3 linked regions of the Rhinolophus ferrumequinum genome follow. The protein of the gene in region 2 purifies or fractionates together with the protein of the main gene of each other region. This does not show direct contact. Links are inferred from orthologs where the notes say so. Each region holds a gene or a part of one and is shown on either strand. Other genes may lie near its edges. The genes, in order: CAMKV, SDC2 and AMPD2.

The links.
Region 1: the proteins of SDC2 (region 2) and CAMKV purify together in Homo sapiens (affinity purification with mass spectrometry; 3 studies listed by BioGRID and IntAct, counting the BioPlex papers as one, with this or other methods). This does not show direct contact. The link is inferred for Rhinolophus ferrumequinum from reciprocal best matches to the Homo sapiens genes SDC2 and CAMKV.
Region 3: the proteins of SDC2 (region 2) and AMPD2 purify together in Homo sapiens (co-immunoprecipitation; 3 studies listed by BioGRID and IntAct, counting the BioPlex papers as one, with this or other methods). This does not show direct contact. The link is inferred for Rhinolophus ferrumequinum from reciprocal best matches to the Homo sapiens genes SDC2 and AMPD2.

The regions. Positions count from the first base shown.
Region 1 is NC_046300.1:6,610,618-6,617,826, forward strand, and holds the start of CAMKV (caM kinase-like vesicle-associated protein), read left to right. Parts: upstream 1-4,118; 5' UTR 4,119-4,311; intron 4,312-7,209. Other genes in the region: uncharacterized protein LOC117037109, read left to right, coding at 1-817. UniProt on the Homo sapiens protein: Does not appear to have detectable kinase activity.
Region 2 is NC_046297.1:38,339,321-38,346,272, forward strand, and holds the start of SDC2 (syndecan-2), read left to right. Parts: upstream 1-3,906; 5' UTR 3,907-4,448; coding exon 4,449-4,508; intron 4,509-6,952. UniProt on the Homo sapiens protein: Cell surface proteoglycan which regulates dendritic arbor morphogenesis.
Region 3 is NC_046305.1:41,758,472-41,765,794, reverse strand, and holds the start of AMPD2 (AMP deaminase 2), read right to left. Parts: upstream 3,051-7,323; 5' UTR 3,041-3,050; coding exon 2,728-3,040; intron 62-2,727; exon of another isoform or gene 1-61. UniProt on the Homo sapiens protein: AMP deaminase plays a critical role in energy metabolism. Catalyzes the deamination of AMP to IMP and plays an important role in the purine nucleotide cycle.

The sequences.
Region 1 (7,209 bases), on a different chromosome or scaffold from region 2:
GCTAGGCATGCAGCCTGAACAGCTGGCAGTACTTGTGGCCGACTCACCCGTCTCCCCGAGCACCAACCGAGAAAAGGTGGCCGAAATACTCTTTGAGCGTTTCCATGTGCCAGCCATGCAGACAGTGCACCAGGCCCTGCTGGCGCTCTATGCTTATGGGCGAACCACTGGGCTGGTGCTGGGCAGTGGCTATGGCACCTCCTATGTGGCACCCATCCTCAGTGGGGATCTGGCCCCACGTGACATCTACCGGCTGGATGTGGCTGGTGCTGACCTCACTGAATACCTGGCTCAGCTACTGCTGGCAGGTGGGCACTCACTGCCCAATGCAGGGCTGGTCAACCAGATTAAAGAGGCCTGCTGCTACGTGGCCATGGATGTGACAGCTGAGATGGCCCGCACCCAGGGTCAGGCCGGGGTGGACTTCGTGCTTCCAGACAAGCAGGTCATCACGCTGGGCTCCGAGTGTTTCTGCTGCCCTGAGGCCCTCTTCCAGCCCAATCTGCTAGGCCTCAACCGGCCAGGCCTCGCACAACTAGCCCTCCTAAGCATCAGCCAGCTGGAGGCCAAGCAGCAGGAGCAGCTGCTGGCCAATGTGGTACTAGACGGTGGCAGCACCCTGGTAAGAGGCTTTCCTGAGCGCCTGAGACAGGAGCTGGGCCCCCGTGCCACTGTGCTGGACTTGCCCCACCGTGTTGCTGCCGCTTGGATTGGAGGCTCCATCATGGCGTCCCAGGACTCCTTCCAGAGCCTGTGGCTCAGCCGCCGTGAGTATGAGGAGGAGGGCCCATGGGCCATCTACAAGTACCATCTGTGAGCACATAAAAGTTCTGGTTCTGCTTATTTTGAGCACTGTGGCATGTTTTAGGCCCAAGGTGGTATGGAAGGGGCAGGAGTCCTGGCCCAGGGTCAGGGATGGCGGCCTTGGCACTCCTAAGGCACACCCTGCCTCTGCACACTGGAACTCCATGGGTCCTGGCAGCCTTCTCTAGAGAGCCCCAGAGCCCCTTGGCATTGGCTTTGGTCTCGCCTGACAGGTCTCGCCTGACCTTTACTGAACCCCAAGGGCAAACACAGAGAATGGCTGCTGTGGGTTTTGCCCCGTTGCCCTGGTGACAAGCGCAATTACCCTTGATTGCCAGCTGGTTGCCATGGCAATTTCAAACATAATGTAATAACCCACACAGCCTGGAGTGAGTCATGGGGGGGCAGCCCCCTCCCCTAGCACCAGAGGAAAAGACTACTTGCCCTCCCCCATCTTGGGCCCTCTACAGGGGGGCTGAGACCAGCAACATAGACGACAGCCCCAAAGTTCCAAAGATGGCTGGGGGCCTGGAGCATTTTGTGTACCCGAGGGACAGTCCCTGTCAGAGTCTTGGCTTCTTGGGGTAGCTGGCCTGGTAATGCAGGTACCTCCTAAAGTCTGAACCTTGGCTGGAGCTCTACACTAGGTTGGCAGGGGCTTCTGTCCACCAGTCAGAATACGAGGATATAGGAGTGCTGGCTTTGGTGCCCTGGAGCAGGAAGTTGGGGTAGGGGGCAGATAAGTCCTGGCCCCTGGGGATGGGGTACGACCTGAGCTGGGGGCTGAGGCTCTGGCCTGCTTTGTGTGCTCTATGGATACAGCAGCTCGCGCCTTATCCTGCTTCTCTGACTATCTAGCTCTGGTGGGAGCCAGAATAGTCAACTTTGGGCTCTCCTCCTCTTCAGCCTTCCAACCCAGGCAGCCCCTGCCCATAGTGTGGCCAGGGTACAGGCCTCCTCAGGAGATCCTCATAAAGGATACCGGGCAATGCCAAAGCCAACTGCTCTTGCTCTTACCCCAAACTGCCCCGTGTTAGGGCCTCCCGCTATTCCTCTGGCGGGGGGGTGGCTAGAAGCCACGGCCCCTGACCTTGTCTGGCTCTGAAAGGGGAGGTAGGAATGAAGCTCTGTCGGCCCAGTCCATAGTCTGGAAGAGCACTCAGCTGGTGTTGCTACTTCCTGCCCAGAGAGGGCAGTTGGAGATTGAAGCCAAAACAATGAAGCCCTGCCTTGCCTGTGCTTCTCTGGTTGGAGACTGAGGGACAAGCCATGGCTCAGTCTCAACCCTGGGTTCTTGTCTTTAGGTTACCCTCTCCACAGAGGGCAAAGACCTGGCTACACCTCCCTGCCCTCCCACCCCACTGCCCCCCACCTGAGAGTGAGGGGCTACCCTAGGGGGATGACTAGAAACAACCGATGACATAGGGTCATCACAGCCCCTGCCCGCCCCTGGGCATAGTCCAGCCTCTTCCCATGTCCTGTCCTCACAACCCTGATTCAATCTCCACAATCCCAAGGCCTGTGTTAGGCAGGAAGGGGACCAGTGTCTCCAGGGACCAGTGGCTCCAGAGACTAGCTACAGCGTCCGTGAGCACGTGAGAGCAAGCATGCCTGGGTGCACACAGAATGCAGACACACGTGCCCCTGGGCCCCACTGCACACACTGTGCTAATGCCTTCTCCTTCAGCATAAGAGCGCAAACACACAGACACACTTACACGTGTGCACATATACCCTGCCACGTGCTCTCACCCACAGACACATGGAGTGTGCACAGGACCAAGAAGAGGTGGAGCACTGCCAGCAGGAGGCAGGGCTCCCGCAGCCACCTTTTCCCCTGCCTCTGAGTGCCCTGTTCCAGCCTCTCCTCAGTTCAGCTTCTCCATGCCTGGATATCCATGACCTCAAGGTCATGGAAAGACAGAAAACACGTGTGACATGTGTGGGGTTGGCAAACCATGGCTCGGCTGCACCATCCAACTCAGAGAGCCATTGTTTCAAGGACAGCGGGCAGACAGGAGGCAGGACTGCATGCTAGGCTGTCCCTTCATTCTACAGACAGGGACTGAGCATACTGAGATGAGACACAGTCTCTGCGCTGCAGGTGCCCAGCCTGCCAGGAGATTCCCACCCAGTAGTGGGATTGGTGCCATGACTGAGACCACTCAGAGGTGGCACCAGCCTGGCCTGGGACAGGTGACCCAAAGCCAGGGAAGGAAATGAAGGGCTCCTCAACAATCCCTCTGTAGGAAGATATAGAGGGGCCTTGTTTGAATAGTCATTTGCCAGGCTAGTCCTTCAGCCCCAGCCCCAGCTTCCTCACACGGGCAGTCACTCTGTCAGCAGCACGGGGAGCCACGCAGGGGAGCCGGACTCAGTATGGTACAGGGTTTGGAGATGGCTGCACCCAGGATGGGGTCAGAAGGCTCACTGGAAAGGTTGGGTTGGGTGGATCCCCCAACTCCAGGCACCGAGAAGCCTAAGTCTGGCCTTCAGATAATGGCCTCAGACCTTGTGAGGGGAGCAGGGCAAGCACTGGGTCCACAGAGAAATGGCCAAGGACTTCCTTTAAAGCTTCTGCCTGGTAGTTCTCAGCCTCCTCCAGTCAGTGGCCGGGTATGGTCAGGGGCCAGGTCTCCTGTATCCCCACATCCCAGCCCAGGCCGTTGATGGTGATTCTGCTCATGAAGTGTTTGAGGGTGATATAACTGGGAAGAAAGCAGATTCCACACCATGCCATAGGTGACTTTTATAGCTTGAGAAATTCAGTGCTACATAGAAGGGACAGACTGGGCCAGCCACCCTGGCTGGGACTTGGTAATGGGAAAGATTTTGGCCTTGCGGGAATGGAGGTTGGGGTGGAAAGGAGACTGCCACCATGGTCTGGGCACAACCCACTCCTAGTTACGGGTTGCTACTCTATAGCGCAGCTTGCGCTAGCGACTGTCCACTTGGTTCTTCTAAGCGGGTTCCACCCTTAGGGTCAGGTTTTGGGAGCTGGGCAGTGCGCCGGTCCCCCGGGACACTACCTGCCAAGAGATTTCCTGTGCAGCTTTAGGACTCAGGCTTTCCCCACACTTCCCACTCCCCAGCCCCTACAATGGGCATAGGAAGAAGGCCCCTCCATTAAGCCCTGTGGCGCAGTCAGTCCCAGGGCCTAAGGGAGCCCTTTGAGAGCCTGGCCCGGGCCGGGCAGCCCAATGCTCACCGACTCCGCTGCCACCCCTGGTCCGCCTGCATTCGAGTGGGATTCGGGCCTTAAGCTCGGCCAGGGTCGGGGCGGAGCCGGCTGAGGGAGGCCCCGCCCCCAGCCCGCCCCCGGCCCGGGGTGCAAATCCGGTGCGGGCGAGCGGCGGGAGATGCTGGAGGTTCGCGAGCCCAAGCGGCTGCAGCTGGCGCCGCGTCTGGCCCGCGTGCCCGGAGCTGATTCTGCCCGCTGACCCCGGAGCCCTCGGAGCCCCCACTGAGCCCGCGATCGCTTCTTCCTGTGATCAACCGGCGCTGCAGGTGAGGGCGGGCCGGGCGGGGGAGCGTCCCTGGGACGCACGTTGTGAGGTCTTGGGGGATTAGGTCTCTGGTCGCTTAATGTACAGGGGCCCCGCGAAGGCTTGGGGCCCCTGCGGGGGCAGAGCACACAGGCTGTGCAGATTTGGGGGTCCGCGTGCGGGGTTGGGCTAAAGTTGCCTGTCACCTCTGACAGCTCGGGGGTCCCAGGGGAAGCCTCTGAGACTCAAGTCCAGGCGAATCTCCTCTTCCTTGCTCCCCCCGCCCGCACCTTGTCCACCCCGCCCCCGTCTCGCTGGGCTACTAATTGTGAAAACATTAACCCTCGGACATTCGTGGTGCCCCATGGCGGGGGGCGGAGGGGGGTAGGGGCCGAGGGCTGAGTGGTCCCTCCTGACTCCCAGAGCCGCCTCCAGCCCCTCCCAACTGCTCCCGCCCCCCTCCCTTTCTCAAAGCAGTCACTAATTTCCATGACAACGGAGAGTTCTTTATGGGCGACAACCTGGAGGGGGCTGGGCGGGGCTGCCGGAGTGGGGGAGGGGGCTTCAAGCCCCTGGGGACCAGCAGCGCCCGAGGCAAGATCCAGTTTTCAAGCCTTAACTTGGGGCCCAGCCGGGGTCCAGGACACCGACCTAGCGCTGGATGGTGGGGGTGGGGGACACATATGTCTCTGCTGGGTGGTGCGGGGCTTGGTGCTCACACGTGTGCCTCCCGCATGTGTGTTGCTGTGCCAGCGGGGGCGAGTCAGCAGCACTGGGAAGGGGGTCAGGGTGGCACCGCGGTGGGAAGCAGGGCTGTGGCTGGGGGAGGTGGACAATAAACCAGGGAGTTTCTGCCTTCCCCAACCTGTAATGTCTGGCAGAGACCCTAGGCTCTCCCAGCCCCCCATAGCTCTGCCAAACTGCTTTTGTCTGCACCCCTTAGGAAAGCCTGCTCCACCGGGTTCTCTTCTGGGGAGCAGGGCCCTCTGTCCCTCACCAAAAGCTCAGTCTACAGCAGTCCAGCTCCTGTCCTGCCACCCTCCTCCAAGGCCCAGCCTTTGAACCCCCCAAGGACCACCTGCAGAGACCTGGTGCCCTCCCCTCTCATTTGATTCCTGTCAGCTTTAGCCGGCTGTTGGGCCTCAGTTTCCTCATCTGGGATAATGGTGTCTCCACTTCCCTCAGTGTCAGGCAGAGGTCCCTCTCCTTTCACGGCATTGGGTGTGGACCCCCAGGTGCCATAGGCTACCTTTCCCATATCCACCTCTGGCCCTCCTATCCAGCCCATATCCTGGCCACCACTCACTAGCAGGCAATCAATCAATCCTTGCCCTGGGAGAAGGCCACTGAGTCCGTGATCTCCATCCAGGGAAACTAAGGCAAGGGGAGGTGGGGCTGTGCAGTTGTTTTCCTGTTTCTAGGTTGCTTAGGGTGCTGTTTCTGGCTCTCCTAACAGGATCCACTGTTGGGAGGGGGACAGCAGTGGCAGAGAATTAGGCTGAGCTGCAAGAGGGGCCCTGGGGACCTAAGGCCTAGAGAGGATAGCAGAAGGGGGCTGGGGGTGTGGCTGGGGAGTCCAGGTGTAGCTGGGCCAGCTGAGAGGAGGGCTGTGAAGGGAAGCAGCCAGGTCTCCGAGCTTCATTTCCATCCCCCACGCTGGTGCCTTCCCCACGTGGGACCTGCCTTACCTAAGCTGCTGTGATGACAGGGAGAGGGGCTGAGGAGCTGCTCTGACTTAGGCGACTGCAGTAGCTGGCCTCTTCCTTCGAGCTAAGGGTGCTTCCCACACCAGGTTCCCTGCATGTCTAGGGCGTATAGGAGGGTTCAGTCTCAAAGTCCAGGTACCAGGCAGCAGCTCCTGGCCCAGGTGTTCAGAGCACATGGCCGTGGAGGCCCTAGGGCTCTGTTGGGCACCCACAGGCGCCTTCAGAACCCGATGCCCACCTTCCCCCCCCCCCCACCCTTGTGGCTGCATCCTTTTTACTCTGTCGCCTGTTTGCTTCCCTTCCATCACAGGTTGTGCCTTTGTCTCCCTGTGGCCATGTCTCTCTTTCTCTTTTTATAAGTGTCTCAGTACCTCCACCTCCCCTTTCTTGATAGGGACCAAGGTCACAGAACCCATGGGGAAGGAACCAGGTCAAAGCCTCAGGGAATTCTTCGAGAAGGGGTTTGGCCAACACTTCTCCCTCCCCCTCCTCTTGTTTTAAAACTTCCATCACCATTGTAACCCTTTGCTCTAGAGCCTTCCCCTGCATTTCCCCTCCTCCACCCACAGGGAAGCAGGGACCCCAGGGAGTTTTCCTTTAGGGATTCAAAGGTGCCCAGGAGGGGTCAGCTGGCTCTTGACTCTGCCTGCATATGAGGGTTGAACTTTCTGATGGCAGCACTGGACGGTATACCCACCCCTGAGACTGGAGCCCGCCCCCCACCCCCACCCCCGCCACACACACACACACACACACACACACACACACACACACTCCCTCATTAGATGGCAAAGGGTCAGCAGCAGGAACTATGGACCATGGTTTAGCTAGAGCATGAGGCCCAGCCAAGGCAGCCCCCTGCCCAGTTTTCTGAAGCAGCTGGAGGGTAGGCCAGAAGCTCGGCTCTGCCTCCTGACACCAGACCACGAGAGTGAGGTCTCTATTTCCCCTGGTCCTGCGGGTGAGGCTTCAGCAGTGGGCCGGCAGGGCTTGGGCCTAAGCGTGTCCACTGCAAACCCAGCCCCAGTCCCTGAGAAAGGAAAGCAGGGAATGGGGGGGGGGGTGCCCGCAGGCTGGTGTTCACAGCTGCCACTAAATCGGGAGGTGTTGCCGACAGTTGTTGGGAGGCAGCTGGAGGCCTCCTGGGCCCCTCCTGGCCTCCCCAGATTTGCTGCAAGCTCTGGAGCCCCACGTGGCAGAGGAGCAGGGCAGCA
Region 2 (6,952 bases):
TGACATCTTTCTCCCTTTGCAGTTTCCTACTCTGACAGCTCACTTTGGGATACAGCACCTACCTGTCCACTGTTACAATGAGTTATTATTAAATACCATAATGACAGAGTCCAATGTGTCAGAGTCCAGCATGGTTAAAAAATATGTCCTTAGAAGCTTTCAGTCCTAATATTTCATTTTGTCTGGTTCCTTTTAATTCGTTGTTGTTGTTTTTTTGTTTTTACATTTTTGCATCTCAGTTTCTGTTTATTTGTTATATTTTCTTCTGAGATTCTTGAGGTAGGTGTTTATTCTTTCAGCAGCCAATGAAGCTATTTGGGGAGTGATTGGTTTTGATATTTTACTTACTGTGCCCCTCAAAGCACAGCCCTTAAACAGAAGACCTGAAAACACATATTTGTGAGGAACTTTTGGCTCTAGTCAAAAGCTACACTTAGTGTATTAGATATAATCCACAAAATTCTACTGAACTTTAGTCCTATCAGTTGAAAAAATGCAATTAGCAAAACACACAAACAGGCCACTATAGATGTTTGTGTCCCCCCCAAAATTCATATGCTGAAATCATAATCTCCAAAGTGATAGTATTTGGCAGTAGGGCCTTTGGGAAGAACTTAGGTCATGAGGGCTGTTAAAAAACAAAATTCAGGGTGAGCTCTGAACAATAGGGTTGCCGGTTTGATTCCCACATGGACCAGTGAGCTGCTCTCTCCACAACTAAATTGAAGACAATGAGCTGCTGCTGAGCTTGAGCTGTGGCTGAGCTCCGGGAGGGGTAGCCCGGAGGGGTGGCCAGATGGCTCAGTTGATTAGAGCACGAGCTCTCAACAACAAGGTTGCCGGTTCAGTTCCTACATGGGATGGTGGGCTGTGCCCTCCACAACTAGATTGAAGGTCAACAACTTGCAGCTGATGGGCCCTGGAGAAACACACTGTCCCCCAATATTCCCCAAGAACATTTGTTTTTTAAAAAAACACACAGAAAACAAAATTCAACTGAGTAAATTTAAAAGACCTTATTGGCTTTATTCAATGATTCATGAATTGGGTAGCATCCCATCTAGCAGCTAGAAAGGAGATCCCAGGCGCTGTATAAAGTGAAAGGCTTTTATAGGCAGAAGGCGGGAAGAGTGGATTGTTTCAGGCAAGGCCACCTTCCTTTAGGGGAAGAAAGGGGTCTGTCAGGTGGATGACCTCACTAATGCTGATCAGGAAATTCCAGACTGACTGGTTAAGACAGCATCCCTGGGAGCTCCTGAAACTGCAATTAGGTTAGGTATTAAGTCTTGGTTTGGTGACATGGGGCTTAGCACAAGTGACTCCATTTTGGGCCTGTTGTCTCTTTTTTACCAGGGCTTAATCTCATGAATGGGATGAGTGCCCTTATAAAAGAGGCCCCAGAGAGCTTCCTGCCCTCCTCTGCCATGTGAGAACACAGTGAGAAGAAAGCCATCTATGAACCAGGAAACTGGGTCTCACCAGACACTGAATCTGCTGTTGCCTTGATCTTGAAATTCCCAGATTTCAGAAATGTGAGGAAAAAAAATTCTTGTTTATAAGCCACACAGTCTATGATGTTTTTCTTATAGCAGCTCAAACATACTAAGACAAAGGCCTTTGTCATTTCCAACATTTAGACATATGCTTAACACCAGAAGATATCCCGTCCCCGCCCCCTACCCTACTTAGCATAAGCAACTTTTTTTGTATCCTGTTCCTGTGCAATTGCTTTCACTATTAGTGATTTTCATATGGTCAGATTATTCTTTTGGCCATAACTGTTAACACATTTGAACACAAGATCTTGAATATTTATTTGTTATCATACACCTCTTATGTGTAACTGTCAAAATTATACCATCCCCTTATTACATATACTCTTAATGCTGCATAATCATTTATAAAGAACAAGTCACTCAGAGTCTCATAAACACCAAGAGCCTTGGAATTTGTGCACAGATACATTCCTTCAACAGATACACCTGATTATTCAATTTTATCAATTTCTGCCCAAGCTGAATGTTAGGTGGTTGCCCCAATAAACAGAGATAACTATGAGAACCAGTGAATAAGTGCATTTTCCCCTTTTATTGGAACTCTAATTTATTTGATGTATTCTTAACTGTTGGAGAGAATAGGGGGTGTGGCCTTGCCTGAGGCTGGAGAACAGACTAACTCTCTTTAGGGGGGAGAAGTGACATTTTATGACTCTTTGCAGTTGTCTCATGTTGCTCATTTTTTTGGAACCTCCTTTCCGAAGTCTCTCCTAATGAAATTCTTCAACCCACAAAGAAAACCCACTTCTTAAAAGTATGGCCATGGTTCCTTCTTCCAAAAACCAAGCTGGGCCCACATTGACCCACAGGTGCCAGCTCAGTTTCTGTGGAATCAGAAGTATTTTGTGTTACAACTTACAACTTCCTGATCTGTTTCTTTTCCTCTTTCTCATTTGGTCACTCTTCTATTTCTCCATATTACCCTTTTGGCTGCCAATGCCTTAGATTTGCCCATGGAAGCTTGGTAGTTGGCACTCAAAAGCAAAGAGCTGGATCTCTCCAGCTTTGAGTTGTAACTCTATAGTTCTCTAAATTTCTTTGAGATTTATTACAGTGGAAGGCTTCTAAGACATTGCAATTCTCACTTAGAGTAGGACTATTTTTTTCTACTACATACTAAGTTCAAAAATTACCATGGCCTAATTTCTATATATCTATATCTATGTATCTTAAAGGCTCACAATTCTCATGCAGTATAGATTCAGTTTTAGATCAAATTTATTCAAGAAATATTTATTGTTTTATGTACCGGGAATGAGAAAACAGTGGAGGACAAGACAGAAAGGTCCCTGGTTTCCTGGAGGAGTCATTCTAGAAGCAGAATAGCTCCATAATTCATTGATTTCATAAGTCAGAGAGAAACATAGTATTAGAAACTGGAAGGAATTATGCATTTGCCATGCTCTGTAGTATACCATAGACAAAGAATTGAAAAAAAAATCATACCAAAATATTTCAGATCAATTACTTTCATTCAGGATATACATGCTCATTATTATCTTCAAACTAGAAATTACTTTATCCTCTTTTCTTTGACGTTCTCTTAAATCTGTTATTATTCAGGGTCTCCATCCAATTTCTCATCAAATTGCCCTATTTGTAGCTTCCAAACGTTAACACCTCTATGCTGAAATGAAGCCTATAAAATGCCTTAAGGGCTTAAACTGTGTGTGAGGCAGAAATGGTATTTAAGCCTTTAATTAAATTATGAGCTTTGAAAGTGCTGCATTTTGAGTTTATAGGGGTCTTCCTCCAAATCTTTCTCTCTCTCTCTTTCTCTCTCTATGGCCGGGTTAGGGAGGGTGGGAAATACTCTTAATACATGTGTTTTGCCTTTTTTGTCTCCTCTTTTAAAATACAGCTTTCATGAATTGGAGATTTGTGAACACTGCTTGAAGGCATCTGTAAACTTTGTGTTTTTCCAACTCTCAAAGCAGTTTCTTTCCAGCAGTCTAATTCTCACAGGCAGAAAAGCTAAATACGTCTCTCGTTGTTTCGCCGATCTTTCTCCGAAAAAAAAAAATTTTTGAAAAGAAAATAGAGAAGAAAAGAGCACGGAGGACGAGAGAGGAAAAGCGGGGAGAGAAGGGGGTAAAGGAGAGAGAAAAAGAAGGAGCACCAGACTACTGAATGCGGACGAGCAGACCCAGAGCAGCCGAGGCGCCGAGCCGCCGGCGCCCACTGGTCCCCGGAGCTGCCAATCGTGGTGTAATCCCGTAGGAATTTCTCCCGGGTTTAGCTGGGAGTCACCCTGCCGCCTCTTCCCCAGACGCCCGGAGGAGCCAGGAGAAGCCAGCTCCGGAGGGAGGGAGGGTGGCAAAGAGGGAGGGAACGCGAGGAGAGGAGGAGTGGAGGTAAGGAGGAGGACCAAGGGAGGGAGGCGGCGGCACGGAAGGAGGAGCGCAGAGGCTGAGCCACTAGCTGCACTCTGCCGCGCTTCTCTCCAGATAATCGGGGAGCTCCTGCCGCGCGCAGCGCGCCTCCACGCTCTGCCCCCAAACTTGAGTTGCAGCTACAGTCCAAGCCATTAAAAATATTCCTCAAAATCAGAAGCTGAACCGCGACACGGAGAAGGAGTCCGCGGAGGAGTAAAACAACAGCAGAGCAAGAAGAGATCCAGAGAGCAGCCTCCCCGGAGCAACAACTCGGCGTCAAGAGTGCAGAAACCAACAAGTGAGAAGGCGCTGCGTTCTCGGGGCGCAGCGGAGGACTCGGGAGCAATCACAGGAGGAGGCAGCGAGTGCCTCCGAGGCCGGAGCGGGAGCCCTCGAGCCCGAGCCGAGGTCGCCGCGGCTGCTCTGCTCCAAGTCTCTGCGCGGGCTGCGCCGGGTACTGGGCAAGAAGCTTCATTTCTTCAAGTGGCGGCTGGGAGCAGCCGGTCCTCGGAGGAATATGTGGCGCGCTTGGATCTTGCTTACCTTGGGCTTGGTGGCCTGTGTATCGGCGGAGTCGGTGAGTAGGCCAGGCGAGGGTCGCGCGCACCGTTTAGGGTGCTCGAGGCCGAGTGGAGTCCGCAGCGCCCGCGGGAATCGGGGAGCGCCACCTGGGGGTTCCCATCGCCCGAACACCCCCACACGCGGCGCTCGTCCCCCGGGGAGCTACTGGGACAAACGCGCTTGCTCCTCCATCCGTTTCCACTTTCCCTTCCCGCAGAAAAGCGCCGCTCGCTGGAGTTGCCCCGAGATCCCTGGGGATGAGGGCGCAAGAATCGCAGTTTTGTCAAACCGCAGAGGCCCCGAAGTCACTCCCAGCTTCTTCGCCTTGGGAGGGTCTTGCTGCCTTGCCCGGGAAGGTCTGAGAGGAAAGGGTGGCCGAGATGGGAGCCCGCATAGGGCTCGCGGGGCAAGAGGTCCTCTCCACGCACTCCCCGAGACCCAGGGTGACCTGTAAACTTTGAGGTCCCTTCCTCCTCACACCATGTCCCCACGACAGCTTTCCTACTCGATTGAATGTAAGTTCTGGGGAAGATGGGGCCCTGATTTAAGAAACCCGCGTGTGTCGGGAGAGGAAAGTTTGCAAAAGTTCTTTTGTTTGATGTTTCCTGTGGCTGGGGCGAGGGAGCAGACACTACGTGGAATCGTTGCCCGCGGAGGTGCAGTCCACGGTCCCGCGGGGGCGGAGCGGAATGGCCGGAAAATGCTGGGGTGCCGGCCGCTAGAATCCCGGTCTTGCGGCGATCCCCTGCTCCTTGAGGGGTGGAGAACGGCCGGCGCGGACTCTTAGGGGCAGGAGGACATTTTAATACGGATTACACTGGAGTGCAGCACACAGGGCGAGGCGGGGTGCGTGTGACACCGGGTCGCCTGGCAGCTCGGGGACCGAGGCTTCCAGTCCGCCATGCTCGCTGTCGCGGGCCCTGGCTGGGTGCACCCCAGGCTGAGAGGACTCTTTTCCCGCCGGGGCAGGCTGCGGGTACTTGGTTTCCAGCAGTGGGAATTTGGTTTCTCCTTCTTTGGGTGGGTTTCGGGGGCTGGAGCTTCTTTCCCTATGTCGCCCAAAGAGCGCCCTCTAATGGGAACTGCCTCCCGGACTTCCCCTGGTCTGTGAAGGCTCCTACTTGGGAGTCCAGAGCTTTGTCTAGCTAGGTGGAAGCCCGAGCACCCCCGATTCCGTCTGCAGCCTCAGTGCCGTCTGGCGCCTGGGTTAGGGAGTGCAGCTGTTTCTGTTCCTTGTAGTTACCCATATTTCTTCCCTTTGCCACCTAATACCTTATCCGTTTCTGATAAACTGAAATATTTCTTCGAAGAGAAATAATTTCATCTTTAGGGGTGGTTTTGTGAGTTTTCCCCCTTCCCTATGGAGTGTTACTTCCCCCTTCTCCCTTTTTTTGAGTTGAGGCAATTTAGCATTGGGCAACCTCTTTGGCACTGAGCAGCAGATGGACATTTTTCATCAGCGTGGGAGCCTCTGTGTGGGCTAGCAGGTCTCCAAACGTTACAGGAGATTGGAGAGCACGTAGATTTGCATGAGTGTTTGGGTGCTCTGGCAGTAAAACAGAACTCTGAGCCTTATCAGTATTATTTCTCTTTGGCAAATGATCTTTAATCCGTTGGGATAGGTAATCTCCCAGCCAGTTATGAACTTTGGCTTTTGTACACAAAAAGGGAGATATTCTGTTTATTTCAGAAAATCCTAAATGCTCATCATCTTGTTGCAAAACAGGGCAAAGGGAGAATTCCATCTAAAGGTTTTCAAGAGAAGCCTGCCTGAAAAGCTGTACAGAGTTAAGGAAGTCTTTTTTTGCTGAGACTTGTTCAGGATTTGCTGGGAAATGTTAGTCTTTGGGGAATCTAGAAAAAGACTGTATCTTCTGCTTCTCTGGATTGTTGCATAAATGGGACAGTAGTGCTCCTTAAGGAAGTTTTTTGGTTGAACTATATGTGTCCTCCCCAGTGGCAACTCTTTCTCCCAACTCTGTCTCCTTGGGGTTCTTATATTTCTCATTTCCAACCAGAATTGGATGCTTTCCAAGTGAGCAGCTTTGCTTAGTAGATACTGTTTGCAATAATTGGAATATCATCCAAAAGCGTGATTAGATATTTTTAAAATGTCAATTTAGAGACTCTAGCAGAGTCTTTGTTAGGCAATGAGTCAGTGGTTCTCAATACAAGCTGTTTTAAAGCCCAGGATGGCTAATAGTCCGTATAAATTACTTTTCAGTTTTTATGTTTCATGTGTAGCAGCATAAATGTATGCAAAGTTGAAAGACATAATTTTTAAACGTTAAGCCATTATAGCACATTATTTCCAGTACTTTGCATTTTAATTTGAAAACTGCTTACTGTTTCCTGGGAGTAAGAAGTAGTGATGGAATGAGCTTAAAGTCTCTCTTTAAAAGGAAGAAAGGAAAAACATTTGCAGTTAGTGAATTCTTTAGTTTAAACTAAGCTCAAGGG
Region 3 (7,323 bases), on a different chromosome or scaffold from region 2:
TTTGCTGAGTGGCCGGCAGCCCTGTGCCCCTTGCCTGCCTGTTTGCTGAGTGGAGCTGCAACCAGTCCCCCAGGACAGCTCAGGGGCCGGCACGGGCTGTACCAAGTGCAGCTGCATACAGGGGAGACCCTGGGATGACGGCAAGTAGGGGGCTGGGGGAGCTCAGGAAAGCCCAGAAATCAAGGGAAGGAGCATCAAAGTACGGAGATATGAGGAACCCCAGAAATGAACAGGGCCTTAACCTCTACAGTGCCAGGGCCCAGCCCAAAGTGGGGCTCCCAAGGGGCTGGAACAGGGTAGGCTGATATGGGCAGGTCACCCTAAGCTGGCAGGGAGGGGCCAAGGCTCCTTAAAATGTACTGCCCCAGTGTATAGTGAGTAGGTAGAATCTGGCTGGCCAAAGGATGGGGGAAGAGGAGTACAAAGAAAGAGGGCAAGCAGCCCCTGTCTCTATACCCAGCAGCCCCAGGCCATCCTCCTCTGCCCAGTGGCCTTGTTTTGCCTGTCCTCTGGGGCCCTGCCTATGGGGTCCCTCGGGAGACACAGGGCCTCTGCCTGGGAGAGGAGCTGGCTGGCAGCCCTGGAAGTGGCTCAGTCCAGGCAGGGACCATGACGCCCCGCGACTGGTTCATGGTCCCCTAGACCTCCAACCCCCGTTTCAGTTGTGATGGACACATTGCCCAGGAAGAGAGGGACAATTGGGAGAAGAGGGACTAAAATTTGGAGGACTTGAATCTGACTTTGTTCCCATTTATTAGCAAGTCTCTACCTCCTGGATGACTCGAGTCCTGTCTATAAGCGGGTGATAAGTGGGTCCTGTCCTGTCTAGCCACAGCTGCCGCAAGGCTTACACAGATCTGGCTCCGAGTATCCAGTCAAACACGATAATCTGTGATTATGAACTCCTGGGACCCTCCCAACACATCCCACCCACCGGGGAGGGTGGGAGGTTCTTGGGCCCAGGGCAGGCCAAGGCAACCAAGCAGAGAACGGCAGCAAAGAGAACAGAACCTGGCAGGGGTGGAGATGGGGGTGGTGATACTATCTCTTACTTGTAAGAGGGCAGCGAAGGAAGAGGAAGGAAAGATGAGCACCTGCTCCACCCCTTAGGATGTAAGACACAGCCTGAGGTCCTTGCTTGCCCAAGAACTCTGATTCTACACAACTCTTCCCCACTCCAAAACCCCTCTACGGGCCGCTGACCACAGACCTCCAGGGGTGGTCTGGAAGGGCTCAGCAGGAGCTGAGACAAAGGCCCTCATCTCAACCCCCTCTCCTATCAGGATGGCCCAGGGCTTCCATAGAAACGCTGGAGTGACCAGGACAGGTTCCAGCAGCCAGAGCCATCCCCCCAGCCTGCCAGGCCACTGCACGGGGCTGCCGGGGTTCACTGGAGGTGACAGACAGGCAGTAACCCCCACACTCCCTGCAGCCGGGCCTAGAAAACCCAGCTGCTGTCTGCTGGTCCCTTCTCCCAGAGTCTGTGTCACAGCAACACACACACACATACACACACACACACACACACACACACACACAAAATCACACGGGGGGAAGGGGAGGGAGGGTATAGTTGACCAAAAGCCAACCACTCCCACCAACTCCAAGATTCTTGCCATCCCATCTACTCTCTTAACCAGGACTCACTGCCAGGACTGCCTCAGTAGGCAGCGAGGTGCCCAAGGCTTTGACCCACAAGTATGATGCTCCCACCATGTGACCACCCAAAGGTACAGATCTGGCCCTGGCGGACACACCCTCTGGATGGCACAGACCTGGGCACAGAAAACACAGACCCTCAGGACAGCACGGATCAGGCCAGCATCTTCAATGGCATAAGAAAACATAGGAGGTGGGTGGTCAGGCTAGGTACAGACAGCTGCTGAGGGGGAGACTGGCTTGAGCTAGTCACCAAGGTGGGGGTGGTGTTTCTTCAGCCACAAGACCTGGGGACAGCAGATGGCAGGGAGATATCCCTTAGAAAGCAGACCCAGGCAGCCGAGCCCTTAGGGAACTGGGCACAACCGTACCAGGCTGCCTGCTCCAAATGGTGCAGAGATGCCTACCAGAGTGGGAGCCGGAACCAAAGGGTACTGGAGCACTTGCGGGTGGGCAGCAGGCCCAGCCTGAGCCCTGCATGGTCCGGCCCAAGGACACCAATACTCTTGGGGACGCTCACGAGACAGACCAGGAATGAGCACACAGCAAACGATCACAGTTGCGCCCCCGGCCTTGGGATCCCAGTGTCAATGAGTGTGCCCTAACATCAGAGCCCCGATGAGGGGTCAGAGATCTGGGGTCCTAAAAAGAGGAACTAGCCATACGAAGACAGCCTGAGCCTGCCTGGCAAAGGCACAGCTGCTAGCACTGTGGCCACTCTGCAAACCAGTCAGTCCCACTCAGCCCCCACTCCATTCATACACTCTCCATGCAAACAGCCTTAGCACATCCACACGCTGACACGTGTGCAAACACACCTCTTGCTGCACCCACACCCATGCCCACTCCGTTACAAGGATAGCATCCCTGACATGGAAACGTCCACCCCACCTCTCTCCCCCCACCACCTCCCAAGCCAGCTGTCCCTGGGACCGAGGACGAGGCACACCACAGCAGAGAGGGTGCAGAACCACCCCCCCACACCCCCCCACCCTCTGAGGGGACCAGTGGCCTGGGCCAGAAGTGGTGGAGCAGAGCCAGTGCCTGGGTCAGGATGCACACACTCACCTGGTGCTGCAGAGGAGGGCTGCTGGCTGGCACGCTTCTTAAAGGGATATTTGGCCTTGGGTTTGCCCGGGCCGGATGGATAGGATGCCATGGCTCTGGTCGTGGAGATGGCGGGGGAGTCTGAGCCGCACCAGCTGGGCCTGGCTCTGCCACATCCAACCCCTTCCTCCGCCCCGCCCCCAGCGGGAGTGAGTGATGCAGGAAGCAGAGGCCCCGCCAGCGGAAGAGGCCCTGGCCACGATTTCTGTTGTCTAGGCAACCTCCAGGAGGGGCCTCCATCCCCGCCCCTTAATCCTCCCTTCCCCTCCCTCATCCCAGGAGTGACGTGGGCCTGGGGAGGGATGGAGGTGCGAACAAGATCGTAGAGAGCCAGCACCCAGCACGCCACTAACCCTCTCTCTGGAGCCCTGGAACCCGCCTCCCTTGCCATGACTCTGGGGCGAGGGCTCAAAGTCCAGGCTAGCTGGACTAGCTAGCGTGAGAGAAAAATATAATAATAAACAAGGATCCGGCGTGAGCTCCCCCAGACTCAGAATACGTTCGGCCCAGGGCAGGCGCAGTCCGTGAACACCCAGTCCCTCTAGGGCAGAATCCCCTTTTTCCTTCTCTATCTGAACCCCGGCCCCAGAGTAGCGCAGCTCTGGGAGGATGGAGTAGAACGGAGAATCCCAGCCCGGTAGGGAGTAGCCTGTCTTGGGAAAATTCCACTGTCCAGCAGAAGCTACCTTCTCGGAAGGCAGAGAGGCCAGGAGGCAGGGGCTTCTCTGAGGGTCTGGGAAAGAGACCCGGCGTCTCCCGCCTCCTCTCTGTTTTTCCACACTCAGGCTCTGCTCTCCCAGGCCCTGCTCAGGAGGAGCTGGCCGCCTTCGCTACGTCTGCGGGCTATGCTCAGTCCGCTACCCTCGTCAGCCAGGACACTGCACGTCTCTATCCCAGAGACCCTTCCCCCAACACAGGCACACACACTCACCTGAGGCCATGCTGCCCGAGCCCTTAAAGGGAGCGGGGAGGCTGCCCGCCAGGGTCTGCACAGCCGGGAAGCCCGGGTCTCGAGGAAGGGGATGAGGGCTGGGGCCCAGACCCGCACCAAGTCGCTCTAAGAGCCCCTGCCCCGGCACGGAGCGGCGGGAAGTAAGGCAGTCTTTCAAAATTGCCGGATGTCAGGAGGCGGGCCCCCGCCGACCTTGGCCGCAGCACTGGCCTGGAAGACCCCTCAGCTCCCGCACTCCAGAGGCGAGCAGGCCACGTGCTCCCGGGACAGCGGGACCCGGAACTCGCCTGGGCTTCTCTCCACACTCTCTGGATATTCGGGGTCGGCCTCCTGGAGCTGGACTGTGGGGTAGTCACGCAACAGGTGCGACCCCACCGAAATCTGACCAGTGCCGCCGCGCGTCTTCGCGGGCCCAGGCCCCGCCCCGCCCGGGCCGCCAGGCCCCGCCCCCGCCATTTTTTCCTCATCCCGGCGCCACGTGGTCTGCAGCCACTACGCAGTCGTCACCGTCGGATCGGTGCAAGTTCTGTGCGTCAGCTCGTCAGTAAATGGGATGGGGTAATCGCACTACCTCACTCAAAGGAGTTATTGTGAGGATAAATGTTCACCACCTTTGCGCGGTGCCTGGCACAAAATAAGTGCCCAATGAAAGGTAGCTATTATCATTGCCCCAAGATTCACTTTTCGCAGAAGTCCTACACCAGCATTCTCACTGTGGGTGTCTGTTTCCTCCTGGCAGGCATAGATAGGCAGGGTGTGCCTTGCATTCTGGCTCCCCTTCCCACATTTATTTCTATATTTGTTGATTAAGAGCTTAGGCTCTGTAGCCAGAATGCCTGGGTTCAATTCCAGACTCCTCCACCTACTTCCTGACTGACTTTGGGAAAGTTATTTCTTAGCTGAATTTCTATTTCATCTATAAAATGAGTGTAAGAAACCCTGCTTTGTGGTGGTTTTTTCGATAAATGAGCTAATATAACTGCTCACAACAGTGCCTGACCTTTTACTATCCAATTAATATTTGTGTATTATTGCTTTGGCCTTGGCTTTAACATTCCCAGAGGTTTATTCACCTTATAGCCTATAAAGAAGTGGAGTTGGTCTGTTGTGGGGACTGCAGATACACCGCCCAACCAGCATCTCCACTCTCAAGTGGCTGAAAATCATACCTAAAGGGAACTTACAAGGGAAAGTCCCGAAGACTTCACTGAACATAATTAAGTGTATTAGCAGCAATTAATCTTTTTCCTATTTCTCCATCTTGTGGGAGCCCTTTACCCCCCCACACTCAGTTGCACAAACGCTGCTTATCCAGCTCCTCCTAGTTCTCACCACCCCCATAGCCAAATTCCTTCCCAAACTTTGCCTCTCCCAACTCTCCCCAGGCTGGACCCTGAACCTTATTCTCACCTCCACTGATCCCTGCCTACTGCTCCTAATGCTGGGCAACTCAAAAAGCCATGGTCTTCATAAACACGGGGGAGGAAAAATTCACCTTACAAAGAATCAATAAAATTGAAAAGAGGACAAGGAAATGCCATGTTTACCCATCAAATTAGCAAAGATTAAGGGGGGGAAAAGTTCTGGGCAGCCCGGTGGCTGGGGTGTTTGGAGCACTGTGCTCCTAACGCCGAGGTAGCTGAGTGGATTCCCACCAGGGCCAGTGAGCTGCGCCCTCTACAGCTAAGATTGTGAACAACAGCTCTCCCTGGAGCTGGGCTGCCGGGAGCAGCTGGAGGTTGGCATAAGCCCGTGGGTTGCTGTGCGCTGCCATGGGCTACTGTTTGCCGCCATGAGCGGCCACGGCCAGCATGAGTGGCCAACAACCATCGTGAGCTGCCGTGGGCTGCTGTGTGCTGCCGTCAGCAGCTGGTAGCCATCGTGAGTGGCTGGCAGCCATCATGAGTGGCCGGCAACCAGCGAGAGCTGCCATGATGCTGTGAGCAACTGATTGACGACCAGCAACCGTCGACCAGCGACCAGCGGACTCAGCCGGGGGGAGCGCAAGGCTCAACACGAGCATGGGCCAGGGAGCTGTGTCCTACACAACTAGACTGAGAAACAACGGCTTGAACCTGAGTGGGGAGGGGAAGGTGGAAGAAAGGGGGGGGAAGTCCTAATGCAGATGAGGGTGTAGTTAGTGAGCTGGAACACACACATATACCACTGGGGCATAAACATTGGCACAATCTTTCTGAAAGCCATTTAGTAATATATGATCAAGAATCTTTTAAAATTTCATATTATTTGACCCAGTAATTCCACTTCCAGGAAATTATTCTTCTAAAAAGAGCTGCCAGAGAAACATGCCCAAAGTTTCACCACTACAATGTTTATCACACAGAAAGGTTGGCAACTTTAAAGGCCCAACAGGGAAACGTTTAAATTATGTTGTATACATACAGTGAAATACAGCTGTCCTTGGAGAATTTCTTACTGAGGAGGAAATGTTTACAATGTAACGCTAGGTGAAAAATAAATGGATGTAAAAATCTGTACATACAATATGGCCCTAATTATGTGACATATATGCATAGAAAATAAACACACCAAGAAGTTTACAAATGAATACCTGTGAGAGGCAGAATCGTGGGTTATTATTTATTTTCCTCTGTATACTTATTTGCATTTAAAAATTGTCTGCAATGAACATCCATTACTTTTATAATCAAGGGACTGGAAAACAACGAAAGTCTGTAAAAATCGGTAATAGCCTCCACCCCATCCCCAGTAGACCCTCCTGGGTCATAACCCCAGACTAAACTGATCTTGGGGCCCTGAGGAATGTTGAGGCTGTTGGGCTCCCAACAATGAGTAATAAAATAAATCTCAAAATTAAAAATCAAGCACCAGGTAACCAAGTAGAATGTCAACTATGTTCTAATAAAAATGCAAATTTTGACGGTTTTAAGCAGTGGTATCTTGCATCGCGCCAGGTTTCTTCAGGACTCCCCCTTAATCCAGACCTACCTATTTACCTACCTAACCAGCCCACAGATGGCAATCCCTGCCCTCCACCCTGCCCAGGCAAACCGGTTCATTCGTCCCTTCATGCTTCTCCCTAGTCCCACGTGCATCACACCCTTCACCGTGTAACTCGCCTACATTTCCAGGCCATTTGGTATACTGTCCCTGCTGGGAAATCTGCCCTGATTACACCCAGCAGCAATCTCCCCACCTACATAACACCAGCAACAGCTCAGTGGGGTTCCATTGTCTGTGTAGAAGAGAGTTTGGGAAATGAAGGAGTGAGTCATTCCCTACAACCTCACGTTGGGGCCTTAATGATGTCTTTGAGCCTCTGGGACCTAAACACAGCTTCTTCCCCTCCTAGTCTATTCATCAGATGGTTCCTTAAACGGCCCTCCCTGAATCGCAGGTCCCCACTGACGACAATGCACTCCTTACTTCTTGCAAGAACTGCTTCTCTTAGCCCTGGCCTGCAGCTCACTTACGATGTCAGCCTCCTACCTGCGCCAGACCACTCTCCGCAAATATTAGACTTGGGAGAAAACACCTGCAGTCTTAAAAAGATTCTTGGCCAGGAAAATTTCACAAACCATACCCTATGCCCAGATCCTTCCAGAACTAAGCTGTTCAGCTCA